Linked DNA regions of Neurospora crassa OR74A. The protein of the gene in region 1 purifies or fractionates together with the protein of each later gene. This does not show direct contact. Links are inferred from orthologs where the notes say so. Each region holds a gene or a part of one and is shown in the gene's direction. Other genes may lie near its edges. The genes, in order: NCU06226, NCU08663, NCU03009, NCU09317, NCU08595, NCU05233 and NCU02546.

Region 1 (3,447 bases):
GACTGAGAACACCAATGTTGTGGTCATCCGATCTATCGGCTCCCAACAACGGTCGAGTCGAGTGACTTATTGTTAGATGTCGTGACTGATCTCGATTGTGTGCGTTCGAATGGTTCGCAAACCTTAGACCAAGGTAATGGCAAAGTTGTTGCGTGACGAGCCAGAACGTAGCTCTTCCTTGCGAAACGGCCTGTCGTTTCCAACCTGATCTGATGTTCTCCTCCACAGGTAATAGACCAGCCGTTGGGTTGTCTTGGATTCCACCATCTCGTACCCGATCGATTCCATAATAGCCGCTAACCTCTCTTGATCCAGATATCGCGAGTTGGTGACGCATGGGGCCGGTAGCACAAGGAACAAACTTGGAAAGAATGCAGCGGTTGTCCCGGAGAACCGCTTCGGCGATGTTAGAAATTGTGTCGTGCGGACCAGCATCTCGCCTCTGTCCTTATGGTCTGGGACAAAGTTGAGCACCAAAGAAAGGCTGATGATGTCAAACTTCTCCGACTCGTCCTTCGGCAACGGGCGCTCCATGAAGTCCTGCTCAAGAATCCCAGGCTCTTGGCTGTTGAGATCGATCCGAGTGATGTCGAAATGGTTACTTTGAGCACATGCGTTCTTTGTACTCAGCGCTCCAACTTCCAGCATGCGCAAGCGGCCTTCCTTATACTCCTCGGATGAGAGGTACGGCCCAACCCACTCCATGAGCACGTTGGAGCTGTCGCCGCCTCGGTCATGTCTCTGCCCCTGGAGACTTGCTTCCTGATATTTCTCGATACCACCCAAAGCCTCGATCTCCGCCTCAATTGCCGCGACCTGTGTGTTATCGTTCTTCTTCATAGCCTGCACCTTCCTCTTCTCTAGGAGATGGAGTTTGTTGATGATGGATTTCGTGGTTTTCCGCGCAAGTGACTTGGGCTTTGTGACCGTGGGCGGACGGCCTGCTGCCAGGTTTTTGACCACTCCCTTTTTCTTAGGTCGCGTAGCCATGGGCGGACGCCCAGCTGCAAGGTTCTTGCTTACTCCTTTCTTGGGTGCCATAGTCCTTCGTCGCGTGCTATGCTGTAACAAGTATATAGCCGCAAATAGTCGATCTTGTCGATACTGTGATCCGTCTCGGTGAGATTGGTTTTCGATTTCGATTGGTGGTTCGTGACACTGTAGTTAGCAAGACAACTACACCACGTCCTTGTCTGGAGGTCGTGATAGGCACAGAACAGCGAGGCTTGGAGCTGTGAAAATCCAAGGTGTCCTGCACCGACTTCATCCGACAGACCACGAGCAGAAGGAGGAAAGCTGGATCGGAGGGCGCATCATGACCTTCAAGGTTGAATGACGGAGTGCGTAGCGATAAAGTGATGATCGGAGGTCGAGATTCAAAATACTGTGGAGCATATTTCGCGAAAGTGGATATTCTGGTGTGGTTCAGAGCCCGTTTGCGCCAGTTTGCGCAGCTCAACCCCTGCCAGTACCACTTCAGCCACACTACCAAGCCACACAAATCCCGCGCGCACACTTTTTCCTCCCCCAAATTTTGGCCAAAAAGTGAACTTTCTCCTCTCCGACAACGACCAGCGAGAATCCCGATTTCTTAGCCCGACGACAGCAGAAATCGCAGCAATGGCCCCTAAGGATACCAAGAAAGGTACTTGAAGAAACCTCAAAATCTCACCAGCGACGATTCCACCAAGAATGAATTGAACGGCTCGACAAATATGCTCGCCCCGCGCACAATGCGGATCCTCCGTGTCGCGCAATGGCATTCGGAGGTGATGCACCAAAGCAGCAGCAGACTTTGCGAGTTTGGACAAGATTCTGGCATCATCTTGCTCCAGGCGAATGCTTTTGCTGACGAGGGACTCTATGGATAGGCGGTGCCTCTAAGGCCGGTAAGGGCGCTCAGGCCAAGAAGGCTGCCCAGGCTGCCCTCAAGGGTGTAAGTTTGCGACGACTCGCGATCCCTTCCCCCCTGGTGACGTTCTGATGCTGATTAGAGTTCTTTTTCTCTGTTTAGGTGCACTCGCACAAGAAGACCAAGGTCAGATACTCGACCACCTTCCACCGCCCCAAGACTCTTCAGCTGTCTCGGGCTCCCAAGTACCCTCGCAAGTCGATCCCTCACGAGCCCCGTCTCGATGAGCACAAGGTCATCGTCCACCCTCTCAACACCGAGGGTGCCCTGAAGAAGATCGAGGAGCAGAACACCCTCGTCTTCATCGTCGATGTCAAGGCCAACAAGGCCCAGATCAAGCAGGCTCTCAAGAAGCTCTATGACATTGACACCGTCAAGATCAACACCCTGATCCGGTTAGTTTTGGTCCCTATGGACCGGCATTAATATGGTTCTTGTTGCTAACTCCACTCACAGCCCTGACGGTTCCAAGAAGGCCTTCGCTCGCCTCACTGCCGATGTCGATGCCCTCGACATTGCTGCCACCAAGCTCGGCCTTGTCTAAACTAGCGATTTCATAGCTATGGGAAATACACAAGATTCGGGATAAAAACTATCTTCAAGGGATACATGGGTTTTACTGTTTAACGAAAAAGAAGTCGGCGTCTGATACCCCTTTGGCGTTTGGTCCATGGCATGGAAATGAAAGTTTTTATAACTATTCTGCCCGTTCCATCAGACATGACCAAATGGGCCATTATCCAAACTCCTCCCTTGCAAGCCATAGATCTACTTGCTCTAAGACTTGAATCTGACATCTTGTATTCTTGCTATCACCATGGACTCATTGTCGCATTGTTATCTGCACTTCTATAACCAATTATCCTGCACTGCGCATTGGGTCTGTGTTTGAAGATGAAGATGAGTATCCCGCTATCGCGCGCTCCCATATCATGCTACAAGAACCGCCTGTCATACTGTCTAAGTTCCTGAACAAATTCCCATGCCCTATAAACCCTTTTCCCTTCCAGTTCTACCTTTGATCCTTCCCCTGTCCCATCACATATATCGTACAAGCCTTCAGGCGTAACCGTAACAATTCCTCGAATGACTGTCTCTTAGAATTGTGACCAGAACCTCAATCGCAAGCCCTATCGCAGGGATCAACAAAGGTTCCCTAGCAAAGGGTGCTTCTCTGTACCCCCGTTCCGTCGTAGTAAGCCCGAGTGTACCAGACCCAGCCAGAACCACCATGAAAACAAGCGTCGGATACCTCGGCCGCATCCTCCAAGTCTCCCAAGAAGCCCACCAAGCAGGACCAGCCAACCGAAAAACGTAGCCAGCCAGCCCCGCGGGACAACCAGTTCCTCAAGGGAAACAAGTCACCGTTTTCGCCATCCTCCTTCCTCTGCCTCCTCTTTTCTTTTTGTCCCGTTCTCATCTTTTTTCCTCCTCCTGATAAGCATCCTCCCACGCCTTCCTATCGGCGCGCGAGACCTACTTGCTGCCACCCCTGGTGATCTTTTGCACGTGGGCCATGATGGTCAGGTTGACGT
Region 2 (3,886 bases), on another chromosome or scaffold:
CAAAGACCCTCTTGATGCCCAAACCTCTGTGACTGACCGCCTCAGCAGGAATTGGTAGCTGAGTCCAACACACACAAAGCAGAGGCAAACGCCCTCTTCACCTCGGGCAAATACGATGCCGCCCTCAACAAATATGACGAAGCCATTGCTGTTTGTCCAAACTACCTGGACTACCCCTTGGCCGTCTTGCGCTCCAACGTGGCCGCCTGTCACCTCATGCTGGAAGCTTGGAAGGATGCCATCACGCACGCAACCAAAGCTCTGGACTTGCTTGACAAGCTAGAGCGGGAGGACAAGCTGGCTGCCGAGAAGGAAGAGAAGGAGAAGGAAGATGTCGAAGAGGAGATTGTCAGCGCTGGTGCAGCAAAGGCCGGACCCGCCGTTCCTGTCACGGAAACTGAAGCGCAGATTGCCCGCCAAAAGCGACTAGAGGATATTGCCAGGATACGGGCCAAAGCTCTGCTACGCCGGGCCCGGGCAAGGAGCGAGCTGGGTGGATGGTCCACCCTCGAGGGGGCTATCGAGGATTACAAGAAGCTATCTGCCATGACCAACCTTACGGCTACCGACCGAAAGCTCGTCCAGGCGCAACTCAGAGCACTGCCGCCCCGGGCCAAGGCTGCTCAGGAGAAGGAGACTGCTGAAATGTGGGGCAAGTTGAAGGACCTTGGGAATGGGTTGCTTAAGCCGTTTGGTCTTAGCACTGACCATTTCAAGATGGTGAAGGATGAGAAGACCGGTGGTTACAGCATGAATTTCCAGGGAGGTGGTGGCGAAGGCAAAAAGTAATGTTGTGAAAGTTAATGAGGGTCAGGGCTCTTGCGATGCCTACCAGCGTCGTGGTTGAGGATGAATGGCTTCTTGATAGTCCAGTCACCCAGCCATATGCACCTCTGACTGGGAAAGCTGATTTTCCAGTCACCTGAAAATATTATCGACCAGTAGTCAACACGAATCGACAGTTCAATGTCAACAGATCGACAAGGGGGGGAGATGATCAGGAGCTCGTACCCGACAGCTGCAATACAGCTGGCCGGAGCTAAAGCTCCATAAGTTTTGAGGCTGATTTATTGGTGTGGCAAAGCCGGCAGTAGAACGCCACAATTGTACGTACTGCTGCACTGGCTTGTGCTAATACCTCTAAGTACCCACGGTAGCCGATAGCCGATAACGAATTGCTTATCAATGCAGCGCGGGGCGATTTGGTGCTGGGCCCATCAAGAAATTTATTGACGACCGTCCCGTCAGCGCCTCCAACGTTCCCCCCCAGCGACTCGTTCTCGTCCTGGTCCATTCAAATTTCCAGTCGTCAACTTCTTTCTCATCCGCAGCAACTTCACTTGTGATTGCGACGGAACTCCCAGGTTTTCCTTTTCACGACATAGCGACTTTTGTTTGTTTTTACAATTGATACCCCGATTCATATCTTGTCGCAAACCACAACTTCATTAATCATGGATCTCGACGCTCCTATGGCCATGGCCCCGTTGATGGGCTCTGCCAGGACAGGTGCTACGTGAGTTTTGACCATGAAGACTGAAGGTTATCGAAGGCATGATTGCTGACACCACCAATAGCATTCTCTGCTGCAACTGCGGCGCTCCCATCGATGGCACATCCTCCGCCGGCGCTCTTTGCTACGACTGCATCAAGTCCACCGTCGATATCTCCCAGGGCATCCAGCGCGAGGCCACCCTCCACTTCTGCAAAGATTGCGACAGATGGCTCCTACCCCCCGCCAGCTGGGTCACAGCCGCCCCCGAATCGAGAGAGTTGTTGTCGCTATGCTTGAAGAAACTGAGGAATTTGGGCAAGGTCCGCATCACAGACGCCAGGTTCATTTGGACAGAACCCCATTCGCGAAGAGTCAAGGTTCAGGTTACGGTTCAGGATCAGGTGGCGGATGGTGTGTTGATGCAGCAAAGCTTCGAGGTCACTTACGTCGTCGCCAGCCAGCAGTGCAAGGACTGCGCCAAGTCATACACAGCCAACGTCTGGCGCGCCGCCGTACAGGTCCGCCAAAAGGTCACCCACAAGAGGACGTTCCTTTTCCTCGAACAGCTCATTCTCAGGCACCAGGCCCATCGCGACACAATCAACATCAAGGAAGAGAAGGACGGTATCGATTTCTACTTTGCCCAGAAGAACCAGGCCGAGGGATTCATCAGCTTCCTGAAGTCCGTCGTACCAGTTCTCACCAAGGAGTCGAGGCATCTTATTTCCGCGGATACACACACCGGCAACAAGTCGTACAAGTACAACTACTCCGTCGAAATCGTGCCTGTTTGCAGAGACGATTTGGTTGCCCTTCCTCTCAAACTCGCCAAGTCCATTGGCAACATTTCTCCCCTTGTCCTTTGCCACAGGATAGGAACATCTGTCAACCTTCTCGACCCCAACACCCTCCAGACCGCCGAAGTCAGCGCCGATATCTACTGGCGTGCTCCCTTCCATCCGCTTGCCGGCACTCCCGATCTTGTTGAGTTTATCGTTATGGACATCGAGTCCACAGGCGTACGAAAAGGAAAGTGGCTTCTCTCCGAGGTCCAGGTCGCTCGTGCCTCCGATCTCGGCGTGAACGACAACGTCTACTTCACTCGCACACATCTCGGCCAGCATCTCCACGCCGGTGACTCGGTGCTGGGTTACATGCTCGAGGGTACCAACTTCAACTCGGACGCGCTCGAGGCGATTGAGAGCTCCAAGGCGTACGGTTCCATGATCCCTGACGTTGTTCTCGTCAAGAAGCACTACCCGAACCGCCGCCGCAACAGAAAGAGAAACTGGAAGCTCAAGCGCATGGCCAAGGACGAGGGCGAGCTGCTGCCCAAGGCTTCGGACCAGGCCAAGATGGATGCCGAGTACGAGATGTTCTTGCGCGATGTCGAGGAGGACGAGGAGCTTCGTGCTGCTCTTGCTCTGTACAAGAACTCGCTCAAGACCAAGAGGGAGGCGGATGCCATGAGCATTGCCGATACCGACATGATGACGGAGGCTGAGGAGGATGGCCCCAAGATCAGCATGGACGAGCTCCTCGATGACTTTGAGGAAATGGAGATTCAGGATAAGGAGTAGGATGTGATCTTGATTGGAGTCTGATATGTGGATGTGAATGGCTTTGGGATTCGGGGTAAATCAAAATTCTGGGAGTTAGCTGTTCTTCAGGGTTTGCGTTTTTAAGGCATTTCATGAATAGATTCGGGAATGGGCTTGCCGTGTTGGCGCCCTCTGCATCCAACATTCTGTTGTCTTTATAGTTGTGAATGCATAGACGTGGTTGAAAGGATGCTACGACCGTCAAAGTACTAAATCAACGAAGATGTGCAACTTGTCATGTACGATGATCTTGGTCAGTCAAGGCCTAGTGTTACACATCTGCTCAAAATGTTTTCCATCCGTCTGTTTTATCTTGTCGCCTTCGGTCATCATCAATTATGAAAACAGGTTTATTTCGAGTCCGGACAAAGGTTCCAAAGCATACAACCCCAGAAAAAGGAAAACATATCACAAAATGCGCGGGGTTTCACAACGATGCAGAGGGGGCCAAGGAACAACTTTGAAACGAAGAGAAAAGATGGAAAAAATAAAACGAAAAAAAGAGAACCAGAAGGTTGATCGTTATCGCTCGGATACCGGGAGTCGAACCCGGGGCTGTTGAGAAAACAGACACTTGTAAACAAGTGAGAGTCAACGATGTTACCGCTACACCATACCCGATGAAGGATGGCTTCCGATTGTTTTATGCTTTTGTCACCAGAGGATGTGTTCTTGAACCGGAAAAGCACGAATTGTTCATGAATTGTGTGGTGGAGTTGAGGGTTGGGTGTGACATGGGTCAGGGGTTCAGTAGTAGGTGGGCTAAAGGCAAAAAGGGAAAAGGGGGTTT
Region 3 (3,809 bases), on another chromosome or scaffold:
GCCGACAAGAGCATAATGTCCCTCTTCGTCACCGGTATCGAAGATGATCTGCCTGAGTTCAAGATTCGCGACTTCTTCAAGGCGTTCGGAAAGATCAAGTCGCTGGTGGTGTCGCACATGTCGCATGCCGCGTTCGTCAACTACGAGACTCGGGAGGCTGCTGAGAAGGCTTCAGCGGAGTGCAAAGGCCGTGCTGTCATTGCCGGATGCCCCTTGAGAGTTAGATGGAGCGTGCCCAAGGCGTTGGGAACAATGAACAAGGAACAGCGTTCGGAGATGCTACGAGATGGTCGGTCGGCCTTTGGCAGTGGTCAAAAGACAGGTGGCCAAAAGGCGATCGGGGGACAAAATGCCCAGGGTGGCGCATCAGGAGCGCAGAAAGACGACGCATCTAACCTCACTATCGCAGCGCCGCCCGGTGCGGCAGACGTACAGTACGCCAGTCTCTCTGGCAACTAAGCGGGGTCAGAAAAGTGCTTATTAATCATGGTATTGCAAGGCGTTCGGAGGCTATTATGATTTGGGGTTTGGGCTCAGGGTATCTCGGATACGTTGCATTTCCTGATATCGCATGGTCTCTTCCACTAGTTTTCTACATTGAGGGGTATCATTGATGATTTATACATATACACGGGCAACGGCACTGTCCTGTTGTCCCATTACGTTCTCACGAACTTGAGCTTCCAAAATCCTTGTGTTATCCAACCATGGTTTTGTATTCACTTATGCCGAGCAGCACTTCTGCTCGCCGCCGATCTTGATGGTCTGGTTGCCTAGCTTGATGGTATCGTTGTCGCCGCGCTCGGTGTCCTGGTGAATCCGTAGCTCTGCAACGAACATGGAGTCAGCAACCATATTCTGTATATGACTCGAGCACCCCTAGACTTCGCTCACTGTAGGTCTCGCCGTCCTTACGGCCCTGGACGACATTGGATCTCAAAAAGCTGGCAACTTCCTCGGCATGCGCAATCGCAGGCGCAATCGTAGGATCGTTGGCGGGAACGTTCTGGTTCTCGCGGAAACCACGGCGGATGGACTCGTAGGCGGCCGTAAGGGTGCGGTTATCGCCTAAGATAGTGGCACATGCCGGTCAGTCCGGGGAGCTACATGGGCCGGCGGATGCACCAAGGAGACTGCAGGGGAACATCGTACCATCAAAGGCAACTCTCGCGGCGCGCATGAGGTGACGGTAGGCTTGAAGGGCAGACATGTTGACAATACTGCTGGTAAACGAGGGTCATGCAAGGGAATGCAGGTTCTAAAGAAAGTAAATAGTATTGTATCGCCAACTTCCGGTCTAACAAAAAGATTCAAGGCTTGTCTGGAAACAGTTGCAGTGACGGCAATGCGACCTCCAAAAATGTCGCCCAGGACCGGGTAGGCTTGCCGGCCGGAGTGGACTTGGAGTTGCGATGATTGTGATTGGCGGTCGATAAGCAAGATGTGGGGAGCTTAGCCATCGAAAAATTTCCAGAATTCCGTCGGTAAAAAGACAACAGAGGGGCCCCGCCTATACAAGCTTCTGGTTCCTGCGCCTGTCACTGTCTCCCAACCCAACCATCACCATCCTCATCATCGGCCGCAAAAATGACTACTGTGGTTCCCCTTCCTCTCCCCACCCTCCCTGAGGGCTGGACCGCCGAGAAGGACTTCAAGCCCATCGGCAAGATTGCCCAGAACGAGGCCACCCAGCGCACCATCGAGCCCGTCGGCCCTCACTTCCTCGCCCACGCCCGCCGCGCCCGCCACAAGCGCACCTTCTCCGAGGATGACCGTATTCAGGCCCAGGAGCGTGCCAAGAACGTCGAGGAGGACAATGAGAGCGACCTCAGCGAGCCCGAGGACCCCATGATGCTCTCTCGCGACGCCAAGGACTGGAAGGTTAGTGCTCAGCGTGTAATGGTGTATCACGCCACGCAAGACCTTGACAGCTAACCTGATTGCCCCGTATACAGCAACAAGATCACTACAAGGTTCTCGGCCTTTCCAAGTACCGCTGGAGGGCCACCGAGGAGCAGATCAAGCGCGCTCACCGCAAGAAGGTCCTCAAGCACCACCCCGATAAGAAGGCCGCCGCTGGCCGCACCGAGGACGACAACTTCTTCAAGTGCATCCAGAAGGCCACCGAGGTCCTCCTCGACCCCATCAAGCGCCGCCAGTTCGATTCTGTTGATGAGGAAGCCGATGTCGAACCCCCCACCAAGAAGCAGCTCCAAAAGGGCAACTTCTACAAGCTCTGGGGCAACGTCTTCAAGGCTGAGGGCCGTTTCAGCAACACCCAGCCCGTCCCCAGCTTCGGCAACGAGAACTCTACCCGCGAAGAGGTCGAGAACTTCTACAACTTCTTCTACAACTTCGACAGCTGGAGGTCGTTCGAGTACCTCGATGAGGATGTTCCCGATGACAGCGAGTCCCGCGACCAGAGACGCCACACCGAGCGCAAGAACCTCAACACCCGCAAGAAGAGAAAGGCTGAGGACAATGCTCGTCTCCGCAAGCTGCTCGATGACTGCTCGGCCGCCGATGAGCGTATCAAGAAGTTCCGCCAGGAGGCCAACGCCGCCAAGAACAAGAAGAGGCTCGAGAAGGAGGCTGCCGAGAAGAAGGCCGCTGAGGAGGCTGCTGCCAAGAAGGCTGCTGAGGAGGCTGCCGCTAAGGAGGCCGAGGAGAAGGCCAAGGCGGACCGTGAGGCAAGCAAGAAGGCCAAGGAGGCTGCTAAGAACGCTGTTAAGAAGAACAAGCGTGTCCTCCGTGGCTCCGTCAAGGATGCCAACTACTTCGTTGAGGGCGATGCTTCTGTTGCCACCATCGATGCCGTTCTCGGTGACGTTGAGCTTATCCAGGCCAAGATCGATCCCGATGAGATCGCTGCCCTCGCTGGCAAGCTCAACAACCTCAAGGTCGCTGACGAGATCAAGGCTGTCTGGAACGAGGAGGCCGCCCGCCTTGTCGGTGCCGGCAAGATCAACGCCGGTGACCTCAAGGCTCTTTCTGCTTAAATGATCTCTTACCGAGTCATGAGATAATAGTGAATGATCATGTTGGCGTTTGTCTATCACTACTAGAATCTAGACCTGGAGAAAAACAGAGTTGTTGACTGATACCATTGGAGATGGAGTATACTTTTTTCCTCGCCAGCCAACTTCTGCTTCGACGTGTGATGTCGTATCTCTGGTTGTCACTGCTACAGAGATCCCTACTTGCTGTGATGTTGAAAGTGGGTCCAAACTCTGATGATGAAGCGCATGAGTTGGCCGGTAGGCTCGATCATCTCTTCAACGATTCGGATAAATCCTGAGAAACAATACCTACTGCTAAGAATGACAGATCTACCCCTATCCGGCTACAATCATAATTCCATACGCAGGTACGCATAACAATGCTTTACTGCTCGCTCAGTCTTGGTCCTTTTTAGTACGGTAAAGCTTCATGCACAAGCACGCTTGTACATGCCATCTTGAGCGGCAACTGTAAAAGCATCATCACATGCGCATGTGGCAGATGCAACTAAGTACATAATTCACGATTACATGCGTGTTTCGCCGACGACGCAGGTACATTTCTTATCAGATGGAAAGAACAAGAAGGAAAGCTCACAAGGCACATATAAGTCACTGCTAAGCAAGGGAACAAGTCCAGGGCCCTTCAAACCGTTGATCGCAAAGCTGAGGTACAGCCACCTTGAACTCCTAGGTGTACTGTTCCCGGAAAGTCTGAGCCATTCGATTTCCGGAAATTTTCGATCAGATGTCAAGCTTGAACTCACTCTCAGTCCATGTACGTAGGTACTGTAGTACGCCAAAACCTGC
Region 4 (4,235 bases), on another chromosome or scaffold:
AGAGACGATCCTGGTGTAGCAGTCAGAGCAAGAATTCGAAAGCTCTTGGAGAAACGCCTTAAAAATTCGACCACCTTGACGTATGCATAGTCTCCAGTCGCACGATGCGCCTCGTCAATAACCAGCAGTACGATGGACTTGGGATCGGCATAGCCCTTGGAAAGGTCATTCATTAGTGTTTGGGGTGTCATGAAGAACAGGCGCTTTGTTGCCCATTCGTCCTCACGTAGAACAGGAGGAGTCTCTCCGGTTAGGAGAGTCGCCTGAGATCGCGGGATGCCCGCTATGCTGAGACATGCTTGAACTTGTTGTGAAGCAAGGGGTTTCGTAGGAGCAACAAAGACAGCCTTTGCGGTTTTTGTCCAGCGGATGTAGTTTAGCATGATTGTCGCAGCAATAAATGTCTTTCCCAAACCCGTGGGGAGGGCGACCAATGTGTTGTTGAAGAGGCCATTTTTGACAATGCTGAACTGGTAGTCTCGAATAGGTCCCAGATTCATCGGATAAACCCATGTTTTCATTTCTTCTATGTCAATCTCATGGTGAGTGGGCTGCTCTGGGGGCATATCGGCACGGAATGGTCGATTCGACACCGCTTGCGGGGCGGGTTGCGCATCCTCCTCCAGCGTGCCACCCCATAGTGTCGTCTGACGCAGATTCTTACGCTGGCTGGACTGAGCTAGGGACGGGCGAGACGTTGTCGCTGACGTGGTCGGCTTGCTTGCTGTTTTGGCACGCCCTGTAGCTGTAGCCTGACCCTGCGATACGGTTGGAGTAACGATTCGTCTTGCAGAATCGGATATTGGCCACGCTTGTGCTGGTGGTTTTGCCGACGAGGCAAGCTGCTTGCTGTTGCTGGGGTGATGTGATGTGATGTTGCCGGTGGCCTGGGTGAAGGCCAACATCAAATCCTCATCAGGAATATCGTCAAAGTCATCGTCATCCATGACTTGAGAGTTGTGAGGTTGTAGAAAAGAAAGAACCTTGACGATTCGAGATTCGATGCGCCGATGCTTGGGCAGTTAATACAACCGGACTTTGTTTTCTTGCCTTTTTTTTTTAAACTTCTTGTTCTGGTGATGAAACTTAAGGCTTGTCGGATGAAATTCTTGGAAGTGAAACAATTGACATTCATAACAGTCCGTTTGCATAGGTGAACCGACCCTATCGTCACACAAGCCCGGCCTGATATGAGACGCGTCGCTGTTTTAATGGACGGGCTATTCCCTTGACACGTTCCATCGCCATAGCACGTGAATTGGTGTGGGCAGTCTGGGTGCTGCCGCCTGGGGAGTTCGCAGCAGAACAGCGTCAGAGTGGGGCTGTTGCATCTTGGGTGGGGCAGGTTTGCGTCAAAATCCGATCGCTTGTCTCTGTGGTCCGCTGGAGCCTGGCGCACTGGTCGGAGCTTGGCTCATTGCCTTGAGTTCAAGTTGCATGCTCCTCCACTGCCGCCGCTAAGGTATTTCCTTTTTGGAGGTCCGGCAGGCTGAACCTTCTTTCTTCCATTCTCCAATCCGTCATCGAAACCTTCCTCATTTCTCGACCTTCTCGCGTCGTCAGTTGGCATCGGCAGCCCAACAAACTCTTCAGTACTGACCGGCTGATGACTCTTGCGCATCCTCGTACTCGCCCGTTGCTTCAGAGCTAGCAGCTTCCGTACGCATATTCAACCAACGATCACGAGCGAAGCGGCGGCCTTCTACTTCTACTTCCGTACCTTTGGATCTCCGCGTCGTCTTTGTCGCCCCACCTCCAAGCATCTTTTACATCTTTCTTTACCTCGACAAATCCCTTTAGAGAAGCGCACCTAGACTCTAAGCGAAGTGTCCTTTGACACCTATCTGGGCCACTCTCAAATACAGCGTCCCAAATCCACCCAGCGGTGATCAATCCCCGGTCGGCATCGGCCGCCTGTTTTTCTTGAGCAGGCCGCTCTCCCGCCTAACGGCGACACCAAAGGTAAGCCTCGACTCTGCATCTTAGTACCCTTCCCCAGTTCCCCCGACCACGACCGGAACTTTGACCATCGGGGCAGCGAAGAAGTCGGCGAACAAGGACAACTCGCAACTCCACGACTCACTGTCCTTTCATCAACAACTCGGCGAGAAAAAAAAATCACCCGCAACTCACACCGAACGTTTTCTCTTCAGAATTCAACGAACAACCATGGCACCTCCTACTGGTCCTCGCGCCGGAACTGGAAGGGCTCCTCCTCGTGGACCCCGAGCAACAGGCGGCGGTGGCGGAATCCAGAAGCGTCGCGCAAACCCGAGGACGGACCGAGATGGAGATGTGTCAATGGATGCTCCGGCTGGTGGCTCTGGTAGGGGTGGGTTGGCTTCCGGTGGTCGAGGACGTGGCTCCAAAGATGCTCGAGGTGGAAGAGGTGCGGTGAACTCCCGGACAGCATCCCGGGTCGTGCAGAACCTACAGAACTACGTCAGCGGAGGTCCCGTCGGCAAAACACAGTCCAATATGGCCACACTGAAGATTCACGGTATGAGCAATAGCAAAGCTACCGGCAATCGCGATGGAGGGCTTCGGTCACTTCTCACCTTTCTGGAACGAAAGGCTTCCAAAGACAAAGCAGTTACAATCGGCAAGGTATACTTTCCCATCCACCGACATCCCCAAGCGCGCAATATTCTGCAACTGCGATAACCGACACCTTCTAACCCATCGATAGAGTATAATGGACGGCGATTATGTGTGGATCACGGTCAGAAAAGATGACGCCCCGGAGATCTTGAGGCTCAATGGCTTCACCTATGCCGGTGCACCCCTGACGATTACGGAAACCACCGAGAGGATGCCTCGCCCCGAAGACAAGATTTCCAAGGCTGCTGAGGAGACCAAACAAAAATTGACAGCAGTGCTAGCTGCGCGCTACAATCCAGAGTTGAAGCTGCTTGACTTATCTTCTCTTGGAACCGATCCCATCCTCAGCAGCATGGGCACGTTTGATTCCAAGGATCGGGCCGAAAAGGCCTTCAAGGTCTTGGTAGTTATTGCTAGTCAGCAGTACAAGACCGCTGCCGAAAAGCGTGAAGGGATACAGGCCATTTCCCTTGCTAGCAACGGCCTTAACGACGTCATGCAGGTTTTCACGCTTGCTACGTCACTTCCAGATATCAAGAGACTTGACCTGAGCAGCAACAACCTCGACAGTCTGTCCAAGATCTCCAAGTGGCAGCACCGCTTTCAGTACCTCGAAGAGCTTCATCTCACAGGCAACCCCATCACCACCCAGCCCGACTTCGTGGCAGAACTCATCAAATGGTTCCCATCGCTACAGAACATCAACGGACAAATTGTTCGCAGCCCACAAGAGGTTACTGAGGCCCTCAAGGGCATGCACCCCACGCCACTACCGCAGTTCCCCTCCAACCTACGGGACGGGGAGGCCAATGTGGCGAGCATCTTTGTCCAAGTTTTCTTCCCCATGTTCGACAGCGACAGAGCTCGCCTCGCCGCTGAGTTCTACGACGACGACTCGTGGTTTTCGATTCAAGCCATTGCCAATTCTGGTCGTAATCTTCCTTGGAAAACTTACCTCAAATACTCCCGCAACGTTCACAAATTGGGAGAGAAGAATCCAGCAACGGTACAACGTCTCTTCACCGGAGGAAATCTCATTGCGGACATGTGGAAGGCTCTCCCCAGTACTCGCCATCCAAGCATGGAGAACCCTGGTGCCTGGCTCATCGACTGCCACACCTTCCCCAACCTCGCGGACCCCACCGGCCACGGCTTCGCTACGGGATTGCTCATCACCGTCAATGGCCAGTTTGAAGAGTCCGATACTACAGAAAACCTCTACGGAAAGCGCACCTTCACGCGCACGTTCATTCTTGGACCCAGCAAGCCGAGCAACCCGCCGCCGGTGCACCCATACCGGGTTATTAGCGATCAACTCACCCTTCATGACTGGACACCCGCGGAGACACCTGCTGGTCAGGCCCCTGTCGCCAACCAGGTCCCGCAGGTTCCGGTTACCAACGCTGTGCCTCCAGCAGAACCTGTCATGTTGGATGATGCCACGAAGAACCAGCTGATTCAGGAGGTGATGAAGCGGACTGGCATGACAGCAGAATACTCAGAGTTGTGTCTCAGTGGCACTGCCAACTGGAACTTTGAGCTGGCACTCAAGTCATTCGAGGAGCAGAGGGCGAACTTGCCGCCCACGGCCTTTATCAACGCTGTCTAGGGGACAGCGCAGGTCACCAGCGTCA
Region 5 (3,557 bases), on another chromosome or scaffold:
TACTTTTCTTGACGCCATTTGAAGAAACATAGCCGTGAACGACCAAAACCTTTTCAGGATGATCGTACCATGATAGCCCACCATCATCGAGACCCCCCGTCTTCAAGACTCGTTCCATCAACCTCACGATATTAGTTACCTCTCTAGTCCGAGTCTCTGGCCCGAGCGCCTGCACGGAACAACCCGCATCCAAACCTCCTTCTCTCACCACACCCTCACGGGAACATGCTTCCAACGAGTTCACGAGTCACGACAGTTTACTTGCATCCCAGGCTTCTCAGTCGCGGGAAACTGCATAGAACTTTTCGAAAATGCATTCCTAATGCCCGAGTCTCCGAACACTCCACATGTACATACATACATACAGCTGCGGACAGTTTAAGTTTCAGTTTCAGTGGCATGGGCTGGGCTTGACGAGAATGCAATCGCCCTTTTTCAAAACCGTTGAAAAGTAGGTAGGTAGCTTCCCGATGGCATACATACCTAGTGACGGCGGAGGCGGAGGCGGTGAAAGGAGGAGTGCCGAGGATCCATGGAACAACGGTAAAAGAAGCCACCACGTGAATGGGATGCGTTCCGGAGGTTGTACGATACATGCAAAGTATGGATGGGATGGGTATGGGCTGTTTGGACGTGATGGGGAAAGAGACCGGGGAGTCTCATCAGGTTGGATGGATATCCTACATTTATGGTCCAGTCAAGACGACCACGAGAGAGAGAGGGGACATGGCGAAATAGATCATTGTGAGAGGAGGGAAGCTATACTGAACTGCTTCATGGTGTTAGAGAACGACAGGCCAGGTAGGTCCGTAGTAGGTGGATGAGAGCATTCTTGATGCTCGCCGGGAGCAATGACTGGAGAAATCTGGTTTTATGTCAGAGTAGAACGGTTTTAAGGAATCTGTATTGTGAACCCGAAGTGTAGAAGAACACCATCCCAATATGTTGGCTTCGTGTATTCAGAATCTTCTCAAGTGTGCTGACCTTGTAAGAGTGATGCCAGAGTTTTGTGATGTTGCTGACTTGGCAATCATATTGCTCAATGCTTGTTTCCCAAAGAGCAAGTGATTATCGAGTGATCAGAACAAGAATATGGAACTCAAGGTTGACTCCATCACCAACCTAATTGTGATGAGACGGCAGAAATGGAAATGATTTTGGTTGCCGTTGCAGTGACGTTGAGGCGTGAAATGGAATGGAACCTAACAGCCCGTGAACCCCTGAACGACAGGCAGGGGAAAGCCAGCGCCCAGTGGACGAGCGGACAATCTTGACCCCACCTGCCCCACAAAATTTCGAGTTCAAGGTCTCCTCTTATCGATAAGCGCCGTTCTGGAATTTCTTTGCTCGACCATCACGACGACGATTTGCAGGTGAAGGAGACAGTCCCCAGTCCACATCACCACCTTGCGGTACCTATCCAATCCACCCACTACCGTCATCGCATAACCAGACCGCCAAAATGCTCCGCCAAGTGTACGTCAATCGATCATGACAATGGAACATACCGAACATTAGCTGACAGTTCTCTTCTCCGCACAGCAAGCCGCGGACAGCCCGTTCCAAGAGGGCGCTCGAGAAGCGTGCCCCCAAGGTCAATGAGAACCCCAAGACCGCCCTCTTCCTTCGCGGCACCACCTGCAGCCAAGTCGTATGTCACCTCCTCCATATCCTCTCCTCCTATATATGATGGTATCATCAAAATCTAATACAGTCCGCAGACCCAAGATGCCATGCAAGATCTCTACTCGCTGCGCCAAACCCACGCCAAGCGCTTCCACAAGAAGAACCCCGTCCACCCCTTCGAGGACGCCAGCTCCCTGACCTTCTTCTCTGAGAAGAACGACACCTCGCTCATCCTCTTCGGCTCCAGCAGCAAGAAGAGGCCCCACACCATCACCTTCTGCCGCACCTTCGACTACAAGATGCTCGACATGCTCGAGTTCTACCTCGACCCCGAGACCTTCCGCAGCATTGCCCAGTTCAAGACCAAGAAGGTGCCCGTAGGCACCAAGCCTTTGATGGTGTTCGCCGGTACTGCTTTGTATGTCCCCCGATTCTTGTGACAAAGAGGAAGGAGTAGTGAATGAACGTCAGCTAACCGAGTACCACAGCGAATCCCCCGTCCCCAACGCCTTCACCACCGCCAAATCCATGCTCATCGACTTCTTCCGCGGCGAGCCCTCAGACAAGATCGACGTTGAGGGTCTGCAGTACTGCGTTGTCGTTTCCGCCGACGAGCCCACTTCCTCCTCCACCGATCCCTCGGACCCCTCGACAAAACCCACCCTCCACCTGCGCGCCTACCTGATCCGCACCAAGCGTTCCGGCCAGAAGCTCCCCCGAGTCGAAGTCGAGGAGCACGGCCCCCGCATGGACTTCCGCCTCGGTCGCCTCCAGCAGCCCGACGCGGACATGCTCAAGGCTGCGATGCGCAAGCCCAAGACCAACGAGGAGCGCACCAAGAAGAACATCAGCATGGACAGCATCGGTGACAAGATTGGTAGGATCCATATGGGCAAGCTGGATCTCAGCGAGTTGCAGACGAGAAAGATGAAGGGTCTCAAGAGGAGCAGGGATGTGGTGGATGAGGACTTTGATGATGCGGATATGCCGATGGAGGGCGTCAAGGAGGTCAGTGACAGGATCGTGGGGCCGAGGAAGAAGAAGGCGAGGGATGTCGTTGAGTTTTGAGTTGAGCAAGAGTAGGGAGACGGGAGAATGAGGGGTTGAGGGGATGAAGAAGAAGGCAGGCAGGGAGGAGGTTTAATCTTTTTTCTCTCACAATTGTTGCGATCATCCACCAAGACACAAGGCGTTTTTGGGAGTTTTTAGTTTTATTACTTTACTTTATCTTATATCATTGGCTGCTGCTGCTCTTGGGGAAGATGAACATTCATGCCAGATCAGATCATCAACAGAAAAGAAGAGATGACCAAAGCTGGAGTTATTGATGGATGATGGGTTGTTCGTGAAGTTGCCTTGCCAAAGCTTGTAGACCTAGACATCTATCTAGCATATACGTGATATTTATACCAACCAACATATGGGACCATAGGATCAACCGATCGACCGGCCGAATTTGCCGCTACAGCTTTGTTTGGAAGAATCTAGTATTGTCAGCACTCGCTGCCTACTATCACATGGCACTCATGCTATTTCCCTCTTCTACCTGGATACCTTGCTACCTTGCTACCTTGCTACCTTGCTACCTTGCAACTATCTATAATCATAGAAAAAAGACAATGCCATAATCATGTACAACCATAGGAAAACCTATGAACTATTCCCTGTTTCGATCTTTGGTTTGGAAACGTCTATAAGGGGTGTCGGTGAGGCAGTCTGCAGACTGATTTAGTACAAAATTATGAAACCAAATATCCATGCCGAGAACGATTGATTAGTGTATATGTTGACTGACTACAAGGTTATGAATGAAATGCCTGTACCAGAAATTGTGTTTGTTAGAGCAGAGTTGTATCAATCAATGATGGCTTCCTTATGCTTGTCTATAAAGAGACTAAAGCCAGTCCCACCAAAGAGTTAAGACTCGAGAT
Region 6 (3,552 bases), on another chromosome or scaffold:
GTGATGAGCGACGTCTTGCCGACTGTTTGCGCGCAATCGTTGAGTTAGCATTGGTGTCTCGGAGAACATCGTGGAGAAAGTGTTGTAGGTTGAGGTAATCGCATACCGCTTTGTTCGCCCAAGAAGACCAACCTGGCGAGGAGAAAGAGTGGTTAGCATCTTGTCTTGTTTTGTCTTCCATTTGACTTAAGTGCATTGTCTGCAAAAGTGTCGGGTATGTTGTCTTACTTGAATTTCTTCAAGGGGTTGTTGTATGACCCGCCTGCTTGCGCCATTGTGATGGATGTGTTTGCGGATTAACGGTATTTGGCGGGGTAGGTAGGTAGGTAGGTAGGTAGGTAGCTGAAGGTATTCGGAAACACGATCAAGGGGAGGAAGCTTTCGGACTTTGGAGGAGGTGGTGGTGGTTAAGTGGCAGAAAGCTTAGTAGTGTAGGCGGTCGGAGTTGGTCTAGAGTTAGATAGGTGTCTGCTGGTCGTCGAAGTGGAAGATGGACGGCGGCGGAGAGTTGCCGGAGACTGATCATGCAGCGTTGAGTGGTCTCAGTGGTGCGACGGACGGGGCGTGGTGGCCGGGGGGTGGATGACAAGGGAGCTTGGAGGACAATCGGGTCGGTGTTTGGGATCCAGTCGGGGTCTCGTTGCCGACTTGGTTGCTGGGGTCTTTGCAGTCCGTCGAGTCTTCGTTTACCAAACAAAAATCGGGTCGAGAGATCGTTTTATAAGAGTTGATACCACAGAGAGCAGAAAATACTTGAACATTTAATATTTTGTTTGGATACAGATTAATTGATTGACCGACATTCCGTATGTACGTATGTACAAGTTTACATGTTTTTATCCATTGTTTATGCATAACCTCAAGTTCGAACAACAAAGTGTTTCTTGCGACTATTATTCAGTCTTCTTCCCCGAAGCGGACTCATGCGAGAGAAAGGGGACCGCGCCAAGCGATCAGTGGAGGGAAACAGTGGCCGCCCGCCGCCTTTCTGCGCCCAGACAAATTCGACACTTCACTTGACCAAAACGACCGAGACCGGGCATCCAATGGAAGCTTGGCGGCCGTCATTGGATTTGTCCAGAGGCCGAGGCAGCTTGGAAGTCTGATTGGCTAATTGCTCCAACTGCCAGCTGAGCACGGCTGGGGAAGGGAACTGAAGCGCTGGACGCTTGTGTTCCATGAAGTTGCTCTTCCCTGTCCTGTCTCGGGCAGGTCTTTCTTATCTTATCGCTGCCTCCTGTCGCCGCTGAAATTTTGAGTTGCACACCCCACTGGGCAGTCGGATTGATTGCAGAGGAGACCCCAGAATTCCAGGCGGTTTCGAGGTATCAATATTTCCAATTTCTTATCTGCCTCGAACCTCCGCCGACTCGTTTGATTTCTTCGAGTCGTCAACCCAACAACACAACACACCATCACATCACATATCCAAAATGCCCGTCCTAAAACCCTTGTCGGGCAATCCCGAAGCCCCCAAGCAATACAACCAACCGTCGAGAAAGGGCAAGAAGGCGTGGAGGAAGAATGTCGACGTGACAGAGGTCGAGCAGGGTCTCGATGAGTTGAACGCCCAGATTATCAAGGGGTACGGCGCTCCTTCTGTGATGCTTTGTATTACCAAAGACACCAATTGGTTAACATGAATTATCGTATAACAGTGGTGTCATTGCCGAGAAGACCTCCGAAGAACTCTTCGCCATCGACGTCAAGCCCGACACCGAAATCACCAAGAAGCTCCCCAAGCAACTCAAGAAGCCCTTGAAGGCCGACGAGATCCTCGCCCAGCGCTCCGCCGTTCCCGCCGTCTCCCTCAAGAAGCGCCCGGCTTCTGAAACCTCCGGCAAGGTCACCGACGGCGTCCTGCCCTCCAAGCGCCTGCGGGCCACCTACGTCACCCAAAAGGAGCTCAGTCGCCTGAAGCGCGTTGCCGACGGCCACCACACCACCACGGTTGAGGTCGTTGACGCCACCTTTGACGCCTGGGCCGACCCAGAGGAAGAGCAGAAAAAGAAGCAGCAGGCCGCGGAAACGTTCAACTTTTTGCCCAAGGTCGAGAAGCCCAAGGCGCCCAAGACGCTCACACAACAACCCATCTCCCTCGCCGCCACCGGCAAGCAGCTCCCCGCCGTTCCCAAGCCCAAGGGCGACAAGTCGTACAACCCCGCCTTCACCGACTACTCGGAGCGCTACCAGGAGGAGCTGCGCAAGGCCGAGGAGGCCGAACGGAAGCGGCTGGAGGAACTCGAGAAGGAGCGTCTCAAGGCCGAAGCGGCCGCCAAGTCGCGCGCCGAGGCCGAGGCCGCCGAGAAGCGCGCCGAGCTGTCGGAATGGGAGGATGATTCCGCCTGGGAAGGGGCCGAGAGCGACGCGGAAGGGTTGGCCAACAAGAAGAAGCGGCCGGAGCGCAAGACGCAAGCCCAGCGCAACAAGATCAAGCGCCGCAAGGCCGAGGAGCAGCGTCTGAAGCACGAGGCGGCCATCAAGAAGAGGGAGGCCGAGGCCGCGCGGGTCAAGCAGATTGCCAAGGAACTGGCCGAGAAGGAGAGGCAGCTTGCTCTCCAAAAAGCCGAATCCAACAATGTCGAAGAGGACGATGCTAGCCTTGAAGAAGATGACGACGTCGAGCTGCGCCGTAGGCAACTAGGCAAGTTCAAGTTGCCCGAGAAGGATCTGGAGCTGGTCTTGCCGGATGAGCTGCAGGATTCGCTGAGGTTGCTCAAGCCGGAGGGTAACTTGTTGAAAGACAGGTACAGGAATATGTTGCTTAGAGGCAAGGTGGAGGCGAGGAGGCACATTCCCTTCAAAAAGCAGGCCAAGACAAAGGTCACGGAGAAGTGGACTTTCAAGGATTTCAATCTGGCTTGAAGCGGCTCGGCTGGGTTTAAGTTTTGGGGCTTTACGGACATATACATATTCGGATTTGTTTGGTAATTGTTTTTCCTTCTACAAAATATTCCCTTTTGGTTTTTGTTAGTAGTACGTTTGTCATGTGTATATTGGCGTTTACGGTTTTCTCACTTGGTCTTCAGTGCAATAAAAGGTTGGAACATTCAAAGTGGTCCTATGCTCGCGTTTTTGTCTTTCAAGTCTTGTAGTGAGATGACATTACATGAATGTCTTCACACTCGCCCATTAACACACCAGAACATACGTAGTGACGGGATATTACTTGTTATTCGCATTATCTACAACCAAAAACCCTAACTGGATATCTTTTCCCACCACCCTACCAAATCACACACTCACCACGCTTCCCCAACTCCTAGTCTGTCTATTACATTACTACCTTGTCTCTCCTCTCTTCCCACTCTTACCCCTTCCCATCCCATCCCCCCTTTCCATTCGGAGCTAGGCACCCCTCACACCACACTCCCTCACAACAACAAATCCCCCTGAGCCCCATTCATCCCTCCCATGCCATTCATCCCCCCCATCCCCGGCTGGTACGCCGAGCTCTGACTGACCACGTACCCCTGTCCATACCCATAATGTCCCGCATCCCCACCAAAACTGTCGCCGGGCTGCTGTATCTGCATCTGCCTCATCTGCTGC
Region 7 (3,981 bases), on another chromosome or scaffold:
GGGTTCTTCTGCGAATCCCAAATGCTGCGGCCGCTTTCCCAGAGACCGGCGTTGTGGATCTTCTCGGTGAAGTGTTTGTTGACGTGCTCCTCCAGCTCCTTCTCGTCCACGATGAAGTTCTTGGACGCCACGTACAGCTGGACGACGGCGTCCCGGCGCGCCTCGCTCTTCATCGCCTCCTTCTCTGCATGTTTAATACGCGCCTCCTCGGCCTTGACGAAAGCCTCTGGGTCCAGGGGTACGAATGTGTTCTTGGCCGTGCTCTCGCGAATCGTCGCGCGCGTGAACACCTCGTCCAGACGCTCCGGCGCCTGGGCCGCCCGCTTGTTCGCCAAGTAGCGCGCCTTGCTCTCCTTCGCCTGCTTCTGGTCGCGCTTCACCTTGCGCTGCCAGAGTCCCTGCAGACCGGCCTCGAGTGACTGGCGCCGGGCCTCGGCCATCTTGCGACGCCACGACTCTTGTTTCGACTTGGGCGGCAGACCAGCCAGCTCGGCGGCGGACTTGGGAGCGATACGATTGACATAGCCGGATTGGACCTTCTCCGGGACGCCCTTCTTTGGGAAAATGGAGCGGGGGATCGGGAGGTGGCCCTTGACGAAAGGGTGCCTAACCTCGGAAGACTGCGGCGGCTCGGGGACCTTGATGTAGTTGGGCGAATCGGGGGGGATGGAGACCGAGTCTCTAGCCGATCGGGTGGTGCTGAAAGATCGGGCGGCGATGGCGCGTGTTACTACGCTGGTGGCAGCGCATGTTGTGGTCGGGGAAGAAAGGATAAATTGCACGCCGCTGAGCGACGGCCTGGCAAGAGTTGGCGCCATTTTTGAGGTGGAGGGTTGGCTGAAGACGGGGTGAGCGGGATGGGGTCGGAGTTGGGAGACTTCTGGCCGGGCCGTGCTATGCGGAGGTTTCGTGCGACGGAGGGAACGGACCAGGCGGGTGCAGCGGCCTCTCGCTCTCCTAGGTAGGTAGGTTCGGCTCGGGATCGTGGGACACGCCGCGGTACGAGGGGGCTTTCAACTCCGTCGAAATTCTGAAAGCTCGGGGAGGCCAGAACGGCGCTAGAGTGCTCTTGGTGCTACTAGCTTTGCTGGTCGCGGGCGTTCTGCCGTCGTACACCGCTAAACTTTTTGTGCATGGGGACCTTTGCGCGGCCTCCACACCCCGCCCAAAAAAAAAACTGACAAAACTTTCGCCGGGACCAGTCGCAGAGTTGCATTTCCTCCTTCTCATTCCTTCCTCGCTTCCCTCTCTTCTTTTCTTCTTCCCCAGTCCATTCATCCTCTCGATTCTCACGCAACACCCTCTGCCGATATCTGATACCCCATAGCCTCGTTTCTAGCCTTTTACCCATTCTTCCCTATTTTCGTGTGCTTCTTCTTTCAAGTCAATCTCAAACCCCCCGATCTACGGATACCCCCAGCCGCTCTCGCAGGCGAGAACGAAATTCTTCCACATCTGCATCCTCTACCCACCAACCTACTCGGTAATCTGGCATTGAGTGATATCTGCCAAAATGGGAACAGGAAAGAAGGAAAAGTCTCGCATTCAGCGACAGGGCAAGGTGACGGGTGATCCAAAGGTCAAGGGCGAGAACTTCTACCGGAGCGCAAAGAAGATCAAGGCCTTGAACGTGCTGAAGGAGGGAAAGGCCATTCGCAACAAGGAGGGCAAGGTCGTCAAGGCCGCGTCGTATCAGAGCAGAGATGTTCCCACAGCCGTCATCGAGCCGAACCGGAGATGGTTCAACAACACCAGAGTCATTTCGCAAGATACGTTGACATCTTTCCGGGAGGCGATTGCCGAGAAGGACAAGGATCCTTACTGTACGTTCAACTCTTCCGTCACTTGTCCGGCCGACCAAGACTAACGCACCTTGTCTTGTAGCGGTGCTGTTGAAAAGCAACAAGCTCCCCATGAGCTTGATCAGAGATGGACCCAAGGATGCGTTGAAGAAGCACCAAGCCAAGATGACGATTGAGAGCGAGCCGTTTTCACAGACCTTTGGCCCCAAGGCCCAAAGGAAGAGGCCAAAACTCAGCTTCAACACGATCGGTGACTTGACAGAACACAGCGAGAAGAGCATGGATACATACCAGGCCAGACTCGAGGAGATCAAGCTTCTAAGTGGTGCTTCTGGATATGGCGGTGGTCTTGCCGATGACGATGTTCAAGAGGAGGATTTCAGTGTCGCGACGGCCAAGGAGGCTATCTTCACAAAGGGCCAGTCGAAGCGTATTTGGAACGAACTGTGTAAGTCCTTCTGTGTTTGGGGACTTGTGACTTCGGGTTGCTAACCATCACATAGACAAGGTCATTGATTCGTCAGATGTCATCCTGCACGTTATCGATGCCAGAGATCCTCTGGGAACCAGGTGTCGTCACGTTGAGAAATACCTTGCCACTGAGGCTCCTCACAAGCATCTTATTTTCGTGCTGAACAAGATCGATCTTGTTCCTTCCAAGACTGCTGTAAGTGTAGACCATTATTTGCTTTCACTCCTTCTGCTTGAATCTCTTGACTTGCCTCGCGCAAATCCTGAGGTTCCCAGGGATTTTGTCAGGATCTTTCCCGCATTCAGTTGCGCTTCATTGGGATTGGTCTGTTACATCGCTGGGAGATTAATATCCACCTCCCAACCTCTCTGGTCCCGTCTTGGGATTGGGGATTTGATGGACTCCGTTTTGGAGGACTTCACGGGATACCGGACGTGTTTCGTTTGAGTTGAATTCCACCCTGCCTTTGAGCAGACTCTACCATGGTGGTCTTCTTAGTTATGATTCACACATTTCTTCACATTATACATATATGTTATATTCAGTAACGAGTTGAGGACTAACTGAAAACAATAGGCCGCGTGGATTCGCGTTCTGCAGAAGGATCATCCTACATGTGCTATGAGATCTAGCATCAAGAACCCCTTCGGTCGTGGTTCTTTGATCGATCTTCTCAGACAGTTCAGTATCCTGCACAAGGACAGGAAACAGATCAGCGTCGGTCTTGTTGGCTACCCCAACGTCGGCAAGTCGAGTATCATCAATGCCCTTCGTGGGAAGCCCGTTGCTAAGGTCGCCCCTATTCCCGGAGAGACCAAGGTCTGGCAGTACGTCACCTTGATGAGGAGGATCTACCTCATCGACTGCCCTGGCATTGTTCCTCCCAACCAGAACGATACGCCACAGGATCTCCTGCTCCGTGGTGTTGTACGTGTGGAAAACGTCGATAACCCGGAGCAATACATCCCTGCGGTATTGAACAAGGTCAAACCTCACCACATGGAGAGGACATATGAGCTCAAGGGCTGGAAGGACCATATTCATTTCCTTGAGATGCTTGCTAGGAAGGGCGGCAGACTTCTCAAGGGTGGTGAGCCTGACGTTGATGGCGTTGCGAAGATGGTTCTCAATGACTTCATGCGAGGCAAGATTCCTTGGTTCACGCCTGCCCCCGAAAAGGAGGAGGGTGAGACTGATACCATGGAGGGTCGCGAAGGACGCTACGGTGAAATGTCCAAGAAGCGGAAACGTGACGAGGACGACAGCGCGCCTGCTACCACTCCCGCTTCAGCAGGAGAGGATGCCAAGGAGGAAGACCCTGAGAACTTTGCCGGGTTCGACAGTGACAGCGACTCTGAGGTCGAAGAGGCTGCTGAGGAGAAGGGTGAGGAGAAGAGCACTGCTGAAGATATGATACCCCTGGACGCGTCGAGCGATGAGGAAGAGGATGGCGAGGAGGAGGGCTCTGACGTCGAAGATGACGAGGAAGGATCCGACCTCGACATCGAAGGAGCCAGCGAACTCGAAGAGTCTGAGTCAGAAGCCGAGGCTGCGCCAGCACCTCCCCCGAAGAAGCAAAGGAGGAGCAGGAAGTAAACTCGGTCAGTGAACGCGATGGGCGGCTGGGGTGAACCGAGCATGCGTTCAATAGCCGACCTCAGGGTTGGTAACGATCCAATCGGATCATGACGGCCGGTGTCACTGATA

What was found.
Region 2: the proteins of NCU06226 (region 1) and NCU08663 purify together in Saccharomyces cerevisiae (affinity purification with mass spectrometry; 3 studies listed by BioGRID, with this or other methods). This does not show direct contact. The link is inferred for Neurospora crassa OR74A from reciprocal best matches to the Saccharomyces cerevisiae genes RPL25 and NMD3.
Region 3: the proteins of NCU06226 (region 1) and NCU03009 purify together in Saccharomyces cerevisiae (affinity purification with mass spectrometry; 3 studies listed by BioGRID). This does not show direct contact. The link is inferred for Neurospora crassa OR74A from reciprocal best matches to the Saccharomyces cerevisiae genes RPL25 and ZUO1.
Region 4: the proteins of NCU06226 (region 1) and NCU09317 purify together in Saccharomyces cerevisiae (affinity purification with western blotting; 3 studies listed by BioGRID, with this or other methods). This does not show direct contact. The link is inferred for Neurospora crassa OR74A from reciprocal best matches to the Saccharomyces cerevisiae genes RPL25 and MEX67.
Region 5: the proteins of NCU06226 (region 1) and NCU08595 purify together in Saccharomyces cerevisiae (affinity purification with western blotting; 8 studies listed by BioGRID, with this or other methods). This does not show direct contact. The link is inferred for Neurospora crassa OR74A from reciprocal best matches to the Saccharomyces cerevisiae genes RPL25 and RPF2.
Region 6: the proteins of NCU06226 (region 1) and NCU05233 purify together in Saccharomyces cerevisiae (affinity purification with mass spectrometry; 3 studies listed by BioGRID, with this or other methods). This does not show direct contact. The link is inferred for Neurospora crassa OR74A from reciprocal best matches to the Saccharomyces cerevisiae genes RPL25 and NOP53.
Region 7: the proteins of NCU06226 (region 1) and NCU02546 purify together in Saccharomyces cerevisiae (affinity purification with mass spectrometry; 5 studies listed by BioGRID, with this or other methods). This does not show direct contact. The link is inferred for Neurospora crassa OR74A from reciprocal best matches to the Saccharomyces cerevisiae genes RPL25 and NOG2.

The regions. Positions count from the first base shown.
Region 1 is NC_026503.1:1,965,160-1,968,606, reverse strand, and holds NCU06226 (60S ribosomal protein L25), read left to right. Parts: upstream 1-1,444; 5' UTR 1,445-1,620; coding exon 1,621-1,645; intron 1,646-1,871; coding exon 1,872-1,936; intron 1,937-2,014; coding exon 2,015-2,307; intron 2,308-2,368; coding exon 2,369-2,456; 3' UTR 2,457-2,947; downstream 2,948-3,447. Other genes in the region: NCU06227 (hypothetical protein), read right to left, coding at 124-1,041; small zinc finger protein Tim8, read right to left, coding at 3,389-3,447. UniProt on the Saccharomyces cerevisiae protein: Component of the ribosome, a large ribonucleoprotein complex responsible for the synthesis of proteins in the cell.
Region 2 is NC_026504.1:4,180,580-4,184,465, forward strand, and holds NCU08663 (60S ribosomal export protein NMD3), read left to right. Parts: upstream 1-1,187; 5' UTR 1,188-1,454; coding exon 1,455-1,516; intron 1,517-1,577; coding exon 1,578-3,075; 3' UTR 3,076-3,386; downstream 3,387-3,886. Other genes in the region: NCU08664 (tetratricopeptide repeat protein 1), read left to right, coding at 49-789. UniProt on the Saccharomyces cerevisiae protein: Acts as an adapter for the XPO1/CRM1-mediated export of the 60S ribosomal subunit. Unlikely to play a significant role in nonsense-mediated mRNA decay (NMD).
Region 3 is NC_026501.1:8,457,541-8,461,349, reverse strand, and holds NCU03009 (zuotin), read left to right. Parts: upstream 1-1,490; 5' UTR 1,491-1,587; coding exon 1,588-1,881; intron 1,882-1,955; coding exon 1,956-2,999; 3' UTR 3,000-3,309; downstream 3,310-3,809. Other genes in the region: NCU03007 (pre-mRNA-splicing factor slt-11), read left to right, coding at 1-459; NCU03008 (hypothetical protein), read right to left, coding at 724-827, 895-1,068, 1,153-1,210. UniProt on the Saccharomyces cerevisiae protein: Component of the ribosome-associated complex (RAC), a heterodimeric chaperone complex involved in regulation of accurate translation termination and in folding or maintaining nascent polypeptides in a folding-competent state.
Region 4 is NC_026501.1:4,264,639-4,268,873, forward strand, and holds the start of NCU09317 (hypothetical protein), read left to right. Parts: upstream 1-1,435; 5' UTR 1,436-1,962; intron 1,963-2,038; 5' UTR 2,039-2,169; coding exon 2,170-2,607; intron 2,608-2,689; coding exon 2,690-4,210; 3' UTR 4,211-4,235. Other genes in the region: NCU09318 (ATP-dependent DNA helicase mph-1), read right to left, coding at 1-947. UniProt on the Saccharomyces cerevisiae protein: Involved in the export of mRNA from the nucleus to the cytoplasm.
Region 5 is NC_026501.1:9,517,966-9,521,522, reverse strand, and holds NCU08595 (ribosome biogenesis protein), read left to right. Parts: upstream 1-1,360; 5' UTR 1,361-1,462; coding exon 1,463-1,476; intron 1,477-1,542; coding exon 1,543-1,651; intron 1,652-1,721; coding exon 1,722-2,044; intron 2,045-2,114; coding exon 2,115-2,694; 3' UTR 2,695-3,057; downstream 3,058-3,557. UniProt on the Saccharomyces cerevisiae protein: Required for biogenesis of the 60S ribosomal subunit.
Region 6 is NC_026504.1:5,668,606-5,672,157, forward strand, and holds NCU05233 (60S ribosome subunit biogenesis protein NOP53), read left to right. Parts: upstream 1-1,201; 5' UTR 1,202-1,433; coding exon 1,434-1,585; intron 1,586-1,658; coding exon 1,659-2,865; 3' UTR 2,866-3,052; downstream 3,053-3,552. Other genes in the region: NCU05234 (GTP-binding protein ryh1), read right to left, coding at 1-22, 107-132, 229-275; NCU05232 (AP-2 complex subunit beta), read right to left, coding at 3,375-3,552. UniProt on the Saccharomyces cerevisiae protein: Late-acting factor in the nuclear maturation of 60S ribosomal subunits, which is required for normal acquisition of export competence. Required for the export of the large subunit.
Region 7 is NC_026501.1:2,685,305-2,689,285, forward strand, and holds the start of NCU02546 (nucleolar GTP-binding protein 2), read left to right. Parts: upstream 1-1,181; 5' UTR 1,182-1,513; coding exon 1,514-1,823; intron 1,824-1,884; coding exon 1,885-2,250; intron 2,251-2,305; coding exon 2,306-2,469; intron 2,470-2,850; coding exon 2,851-3,870; 3' UTR 3,871-3,981. Other genes in the region: NCU02545 (hypothetical protein), read right to left, coding at 1-818. UniProt on the Saccharomyces cerevisiae protein: GTPase that associates with pre-60S ribosomal subunits in the nucleolus and is required for their nuclear export and maturation.